Linked DNA regions of Canis lupus familiaris. The protein of the gene in region 2 interacts with the protein of the main gene of each other region in a biochemical or structural test. Links are inferred from orthologs where the notes say so. Each region holds a gene or a part of one and is shown on either strand. Other genes may lie near its edges. The genes, in order: NR2F1 and AHR.

Region 1 (3,820 bases), on a different chromosome or scaffold from region 2:
ATGTCCTGCATTAACACCCCCCCCCCTTCCCTGCTCACCTAGCTTTGCTGCCATCACCAGCCAACTGATCTGAGCGCTCATACTGTCCGTGCATAGTTGGGGGGAGTCCTGTCCTGGGAGTATCCGGAGTAGGGATGAATAACTAGGGTGGGAATCCAGGCCTGAAGTAGGACTCCTGCTGGAGGGAGGCCACAGAGCTGGCCGGCTGGCACCTGGCAGCCAGGCCCAGCTACAGGCATTCTGCCTTCAAAGGAGGAAAGAAATCCAAGCAGCCAGCACAAGGCCCAAGCAAGCCTTTCCTGGGCTTCTCTCTCTTGGAGCGGCCTAGCTGGGAGAAGGGTAGTGTCCTTGCGCTCTGAGGGCCCTAATGGTAAATATCAGATAAATATTTTACAGACCTGAGGGGATGCCATATGGGTCTTTAAAAAAAAAATCTGCTGGGGTACCAGTGGGTCCTTTTCATACTGCATTGTCTGAGGCTGAAAGGGATCCTGTGGCATAATGGGCAGATAATGCATGTAAAGCAAGATATATGTAAATATGAGTCTGCATGGTGGCCATTCAGCAGGGCCAGGTTAGCAAGCAAGGCCAAGGGCAGACCTGGGGGGCCCCCTCTCTCAGCAACGAAGCCCCAAAGTGCTCCTGCCCTGGCCCTGCTAACCATAAAATCTCAATGGCTTGCCAGGTCAGGCCAGTGTGGATGCACCCGAGTGGCTGGCAGGAGTAATTAGACATCTGAGAGGAACCCATTCTGGATCTAGGGTCAAAGGAGACCTGCCTCAGAAGTTCTTGAATTAGCACTAGTTTTATTTGTATTTTTGCTCAAGGCCATTGCCTTGTAGATGAAGGTGTTAGACTGCTTTGTAAATCCCAGTTCTTGAAATAGAAAGACATAAAGCTCAGAAACTCAGAAGCAGACACGGGCTTCACTTTGAATCGTTTGGTGTGACTTCTTAGGGTCACACTTGCCCATTCACGATTATATAACGTCCTTTTGGGGGCATTGCCATGCATGAATTTCTTCCCAGATCTATATATTAGCAAACTCTGCCTTTGATCTCGAGTCAACCTCCTGACTGGCAAAGGGCTCCTCTGTGATCTTCCTGTTTTTTAAAAAATATTTATTATTAATATAACAAATAACAAGGGTGTTTGAACTAAGAGAAGAAGCTTTCACTTCATTCCTTTCATTCCACCTTCTCCTCCATTTCTTTGCCTTTAGTTAGTTGATACAGTATAAACTGCTGTCTTGAAAGATTTTTAGGGGACCATGAGGAGCCCTGGTTGATAGGAGATAAACACACAGGTCTTAAGATGCTGTCATTGTGTGTAAGTGCCTTCTCCCCCTTGGTCCTGTGACAGGAAGCCTGTCTCCCCAAATCCCCCCCTCAACTCCCCACCTCCCAGTTTGGAAGCAGCAACAGCAGCTGCCTCCAGCCCAGCTTTGTGTCTGATCGTGGAAGATGTCTCCTTTCCGCAGCCTGGAGTAACTGAGCCATATTCCTTCTGATTATTATACAGCTTACAGAGATGTGACCAATTTTCAATTACTTGATCTAAAGCACAGATAGAAGCGTACACTCTCACCAAGGATTTGCTGCAGAGTTCTCGCTTGCTCAGATAGTGGATCTCAAATCCTGTACTGCTAGAGCATGGGCTCGATCTGATTTCCCGCACTGCCAGCCCTTGATTCCTTACCACCACCACCACCAGCACCACCACCGCCCCTGCCCCCAGGTGTTTGTTCACTATACAATCTAGGTTCTCCTTGAGGATTTTGGTTGGGGTCCTTTGGGTTTGAGAGGGAAGACTCCAGGAAGCCTGTAAGAACTGCCTCCAGGCTACGTATTTCTTCAGGGCTTCTGCACACCCCAAAATCAGGGGCAAAAGGGGCAAAAGTCCTCCCTTTAATGAGCACAGTGGAAAGATGCTCCCCTGCAGGCGGAGGACAGGTTGCTTCGCACAGCAAACATGGCTCCAGCATCGTACATTATTTAATCCAAAGGTGAAAGAGGAAAAACAAAGGGACTAGAGAGGTTGCTGCCTCTGCATGTGTGTTCTTCTGTCTCCAGCTCCCCTAGGCTTGGGCGAGGGTGGGGAGTTGTTGATTTATTTTTATTTGTATTGGGGGCCGAGGGGAGGGAATGGTGAGGAAGGCTTGGGGAGGTATGGAAAGGAGGATTTTTCCCCCCTCTTCCCTCCTATTTCTTTTCCCCCCTCTTACAACCTAAAAAAATTTTTTTCCCTCATGGTTTGTTTGTGCCTTTGCTCTTCACTAACCTGTGTGTGCCCTCCCCCTCTTCTCTCCTTCTTGTGGCTGCACGGCCAGACGCCTGTGGCCTGTCGGATGCCGCCCACATCGAGAGCCTGCAGGAGAAGTCGCAGTGCGCCCTGGAGGAGTATGTGAGGAGCCAGTACCCTAACCAGCCCAGCCGCTTCGGCAAACTCCTACTGCGACTGCCCTCCCTGCGTACCGTGTCCTCCTCGGTCATCGAACAGCTCTTCTTCGTCCGTTTGGTAGGTAAAACCCCCATCGAAACTCTCATCCGGGATATGTTACTGTCTGGGAGCAGCTTCAACTGGCCTTACATGTCCATCCAGTGCTCCTAGACCTTGGGCGCTTCCCACCTGCCCCCGCCTCCCTAGAGACTCAGAGGACCGGCGGGGGCCATGGACTCCAAAGCTGCGGGGACATCCGGGCGGCTGTTGCAGGGTGCAGCCAGGCAGGGGGGAGGTGGGCCGGGCCGACAGGAGCAGCCCACCCTGCAGAAATGCAACCCGAGCTGCAAACCAGGAGAAAGAGACTCTCTTTAGGATCAGATCTGTGAACATGTTGGAAAGGAAAGAAAAAGGACCTTGTGTCTGGTGAGAAAAGGAAAAAAAAAATTGGAAGAGAGGACCATGAGAATTTTAATAAAACAGAAGGAGACTAATGGACCTTCCAGGATTTATTGTGGACGGATGTGGATATATTCTGTACAGAAAACAACACACATGGAAGTGGACTGAATTCTATGTAGAAACACACACACACACACACAAACACACACACCCCAAACATTGTTATTCATTTTGTAAAATACTAGTCTTTATTTTCATTTTTTTGTAAAATTTAAACATCGTATGCACATAAAAAAAGGAAACAAGAATTAGGGGAAAATAACATTTTCCAAATAATTATAAAAAAATTGTCCTGTGTCTATGTATCTATATCTGTTTTGTATTTTTTTCTGGTTCCAAACCAGATTTCCTGTGATTCTATACTAATAATTTTTGATATAACCCTTTGCTTCTTATAATGAGTGCGATATATGTTGTCGAGGCTGTTCTTCAAGAATTAAAATTGAAGTGAAAATTTAAACAAAAAATAAAAGAATTTAGCAAAACCCACGTGTCTGGTTACTTGACAGATGTCCTGAGTGCAAGAGAACCCTCCCATTAATTGCCATTCCAATTATGATTAGAACGGGAGGTGAGGGTGGAAACTTCTAAGGTCCATTACGAAGTTGTCTAGATTTATTTCCTCAAACCAAGCCGCCGCCTTGGTTTTGTAAATGCAGAGGGTCAGGCTCTGTGTGGGCTGGGACGGGCAGGGAGAGGGCAAGGCACCTTGGTGGCTCCCAGCAGCTCTCGTGACCTTGTGGATGGTTGGTGCCCTGCACAGAGCCAAGCGGGGAGCCCGGAGTAGGCTCGGTTGGAAGTGGAGGCCGAGTCCAGGGGCCATTGGCTTCAGTGACCGCAGGTGGGAACTTGCCCACGCTGGAGAGGCCCCGGAGAGGCGTGGGGAGCTGAAAGGCGGATTGAGGGCAGGGGAGGGCTG
Region 2 (3,820 bases):
TGATATGATAAGAATGCTAATATCAAATCCACTTCATAATTTTCTGGAAGTTACTAAACTTCTAAAGCTAAAAATCAAAGTTTGTATGTGTTAAAAATGTAAAATAAACCAACAATAAATGTCATCAGAATACTGAATCTTATTACTAAAATAAGCAAGTCATCTTTATGATACAGAAATTGTGATAAGTATTGTAAAAAATTTTAAGACGATCTGTGAACCTGATGAAATTACTTTAAGAGGCTATAGTGAAAGAGTATGAAATAATCGCTCATATAATAATAAACATTACAAGGTATACTCTATGTTTCATATGCTAAGAGATTTACTGCAACAAAATATATATTTAATGAAACAAAACTGAAAAAGTTTTACTTACTTGGCATCACAAGCAGTAGGTGTAAAGTCTAGTTTGTGTTTGGTTCTAAAGATGAAATTTTTGGTTCGGATCTCAAGGATGGATGGTGGTTGAAGTGGAGTAGCTATTGCAAACAAAGCCAACTGAGGTGGCAGTATTGAACCATCTTTCCCTTTCTTGTTCTGTCCATGAAGATACTTTAACCTCCCTTGGAAATTCATTGCCTTAGAAAACCGAAACCAGTTCATTAAAATTAATGCTTAAAAATTGTTCATTTCAAAAGGCTCAATCATGGCCATTTCCAGTAGTCTTGATAATTCCATAAAAGTTCGTGAGGCTGACTAATGCTATTTTCATTCTTTTCTTCACAGGAAGCCCATTAACAACTATCCCCACAGGTAGTACAAACACTATCCTAAAAGGGCTGACAAGGGAGCTGTCACAACAAAATTATCTGTATCTTTCTCTGAGCTCACAATTGCCCTGTTATTAATACCTTCCTTCCCCTCACCATGGCATTCAGTACATATTTCCTCAATGAATGAATAGTGATAAAGTCATCAAGTACATACTAATTTTCAAATACAGATAAGCTATAGTCCATAGCTCACTGTCTATTTCATAACCTATGGTAATCTTTCATATAGAGATAAAATGCAATTTTATTAAGATGCTAGAATGAATAATCAAATCATGTAAAGAATGTAGAACTCTACTAACAATATAGGGCACTTTTAGAAGACAGGAAACAAAGAAACTTAAATGTGAAAATGATCAATTTAGTTGCTTAGAAGTGTATTAACCAGGCTGAGCAATGATTCTGACCTCAGTATATGACAGCAACACAAGGAAGAAAAGACCCAAGTATACAAATTCTATCTCAGAAATACATATTAATTGATCATCAGTACTAAGAAAACTACCTCAAAGCACAATTCTAACTGTGGGTCAGCAAAATTACCTTCACAAATAAACACATCAACAAAAATAACTGCTAATATTTAAGATTTTATTATCTATTTCAAAGTCCTGATAATTCACAAAAGTAATATGTATCATGCTTTATATTCTCTTCTGTACCCATTGGAGTGCACTATCTTAAGGACAAAGACTCCTTCCACTCTGAGTATCCTGCTAAACCTGCTTGCTCCCTGATTATCTTGTTCAGGTGTTCAAGCTACACAATGGCAGCTCATACCACATGACAATTCTGCAATCACGAATATACAACCATTTTTAGATAGCAATTACTGTAGCTGTGTAGAAAAAGCTATGATAATATTTCTGACTGGCAAGGATTAAATCCAAAGAGGGTAAGCATTTTGCTCCTAAAAAAGGGCTACAAAGTTCTCTGTCTTACATATTATGAAATCCTGAAAATAGGCAGGATCAAGGTTCTATAATATTTCACTCAGTCTTTGTTACTACATCCTAAAAGATTAAGATTTTGAGTTATGGAAGATACTAAAATCTGAAAAAAGTAATTTTTAAGTTACTTTCCTTCATGAAATTATTTCTTAAAGGAGTTTTAAATATCAAACTCAAATCTAACCAAAGAAAGTAGTTTCAGTTTTCTTTTTTTTTTTTTGCTTTCTGAAACTTAATAGAAATTGCCAATATCATAAGACTTTGCACCTTACCAGAAAACCGGACGAATTATCCAGCAGACACCTTAGTCGGCACACGAAGCTCCTTTCCATTAAGGAAGAGTTTTCTGGAGGAAGCTGGTCTGGGTTATAACAGACTACTGGCTGTGGCAGCCCATTAGCGTCTGTAGAAATAATAGCAACACAAATTTACGCATTTTGCCGTACAATCAAGTGTTTGGAGAGCTGAAATTTGCATTAATTTCTAAATTGGATTCTGTTCTGATACAAAAAAGAATCATTTTCAGAAGAGTAGCTAATGAAAAGAAACTAAAATGCACAGAATATCACTTTTACTACATAGAACTTTACTCAGTTTTGTTTTTATTTCTATTGTCAAAAATATCTATATTTTCCAATGCCTTTTATCTTCTTAACACTTTTCATAGACTTTTTTTTAAGATTTTATTTATTTATCCATGAGAGACACAGAGAGAGAGAGAGAGGCAGAGACACAGGCAGAGGGAGAAGCAGGCTCCAGGCAGGGAGCCTGACGTGGGACTCGATCCCGGGTCTCCAGGATCACGCCCCGGGCTGTGTGCAGCGCTAAACCGCTGAGCCACCCGGGCTGCCCACTTTCCTGGACTTCTAAAAGCACTGCAGAGGGAAAAGTTTTTTTTTTTTAAAGATTTTATGTATTTATTCATGAGAGACAGAGAGAGAGAGAGAGAGAGAGGCACCGAGACACAGGCAGAGGGAGAAGCAGGCTCCACACAGGGAGCCCGATGTGGGACTCAATCCCGTGACTCCAAAATCGCGCTCCAGGCTGAAGGCAGGTGCTAAACTGCTGAGCTACCCAGGGATTACAAAAAGTTTTTTTATACTTGCATATTCTAGTTTGCTTTTTTATTTGGTCCATTCGATAGACAGAACAATTTATACATACTTGAGTATCAACCTTACACATTCCTTCCAGTCTCTCAAAATATTATATGTGATTTTTATAAAATATATTACTGAGAGGGGCGTCTGGGTGGCTCAGTTAAGCATCCAGTTCTTATTGTGGTTCAGGTCGTGGTCTCAGGGTGTGGGACCAAGCCCTAAATATTCCTCAGCAAGGAATCAGCTTCTCTCTCTCTCCCTCAGTCACTTCCCCCACCTGTGCACAATCAATCAAATAAATAATAAATAATTTTTTTAAAAAAAATTAAAATATATTACTGAGTATGGTAACACTTTCTTGCTTGAAATTCATCAATAATTTGTCAAAATATTCCTTAGGTCACTAAGCTCTTTGTTATCTGGCTGGAGCCTACAACCACAGACTAATGTCTTCCTACTTCTTTCCAACCTTCACCATAGAGTTATACATCTCCCAGAGGTTCTGGCCTCCTTTCAGAGAACTGTTATCAAGAAATCACCATACTGTCTTTTGGCAAACATTCTTACCATCAACTCCTTGTCCAGAGTCTGTACACTGTGAAGGGTTTAATGTCCAGTGTAGCTGACGCTGAAATTCACCTCGGTCTTCAGTATGAATAAGTTCATATACGCTCTGATGTATGACATCAGACTAAAGAAAAAAGATACAAGGAGACTTTTTTAAAGTACTGATTTAAAAAACGTGGTTTACTAAATTAATATCAAAACGTAGCTAGATTACTGAGTGCTTGTCAGCAGTGACAAATGTATGTCAGATGGTCGCAAAACTCTCTAGTCATCCAAGATAGGAAAAGCTAGAGCGAGCAGAACACTGTAATTGGTCAGCCAAAAGTTAACTACCATCACTTCCCTACTTGAATGCTTTTCAGTCAACTAAGTCATCTTCTCATTCCTTAATTGCAACACATTCAGTTCTGCTCATTTTAAATTTATT

The links.
Region 1: the proteins of AHR (region 2) and NR2F1 form a complex in vitro, tested with the Homo sapiens proteins (2 studies listed by BioGRID). The link is inferred for Canis lupus familiaris from reciprocal best matches to the Homo sapiens genes AHR and NR2F1.

The regions. Positions count from the first base shown.
Region 1 is NC_049224.1:15,764,049-15,767,868, reverse strand, and holds the end of NR2F1 (COUP transcription factor 1), read left to right. Parts: intron 1-2,329; coding exon 2,330-2,610; 3' UTR 2,611-3,386; downstream 3,387-3,820. UniProt on the Homo sapiens protein: Coup (chicken ovalbumin upstream promoter) transcription factor binds to the ovalbumin promoter and, in conjunction with another protein (S300-II) stimulates initiation of transcription. Binds to both direct repeats and palindromes of the 5'-AGGTCA-3' motif.
Region 2 is NC_049235.1:31,823,329-31,827,148, reverse strand, and holds part of AHR (aryl hydrocarbon receptor), read right to left. Parts: intron 3,518-3,820; coding exon 3,394-3,517; intron 2,130-3,393; coding exon 1,999-2,129; intron 583-1,998; coding exon 380-582; intron 1-379. UniProt on the Homo sapiens protein: Ligand-activated transcription factor that enables cells to adapt to changing conditions by sensing compounds from the environment, diet, microbiome and cellular metabolism, and which plays important roles in development, immunity and cancer.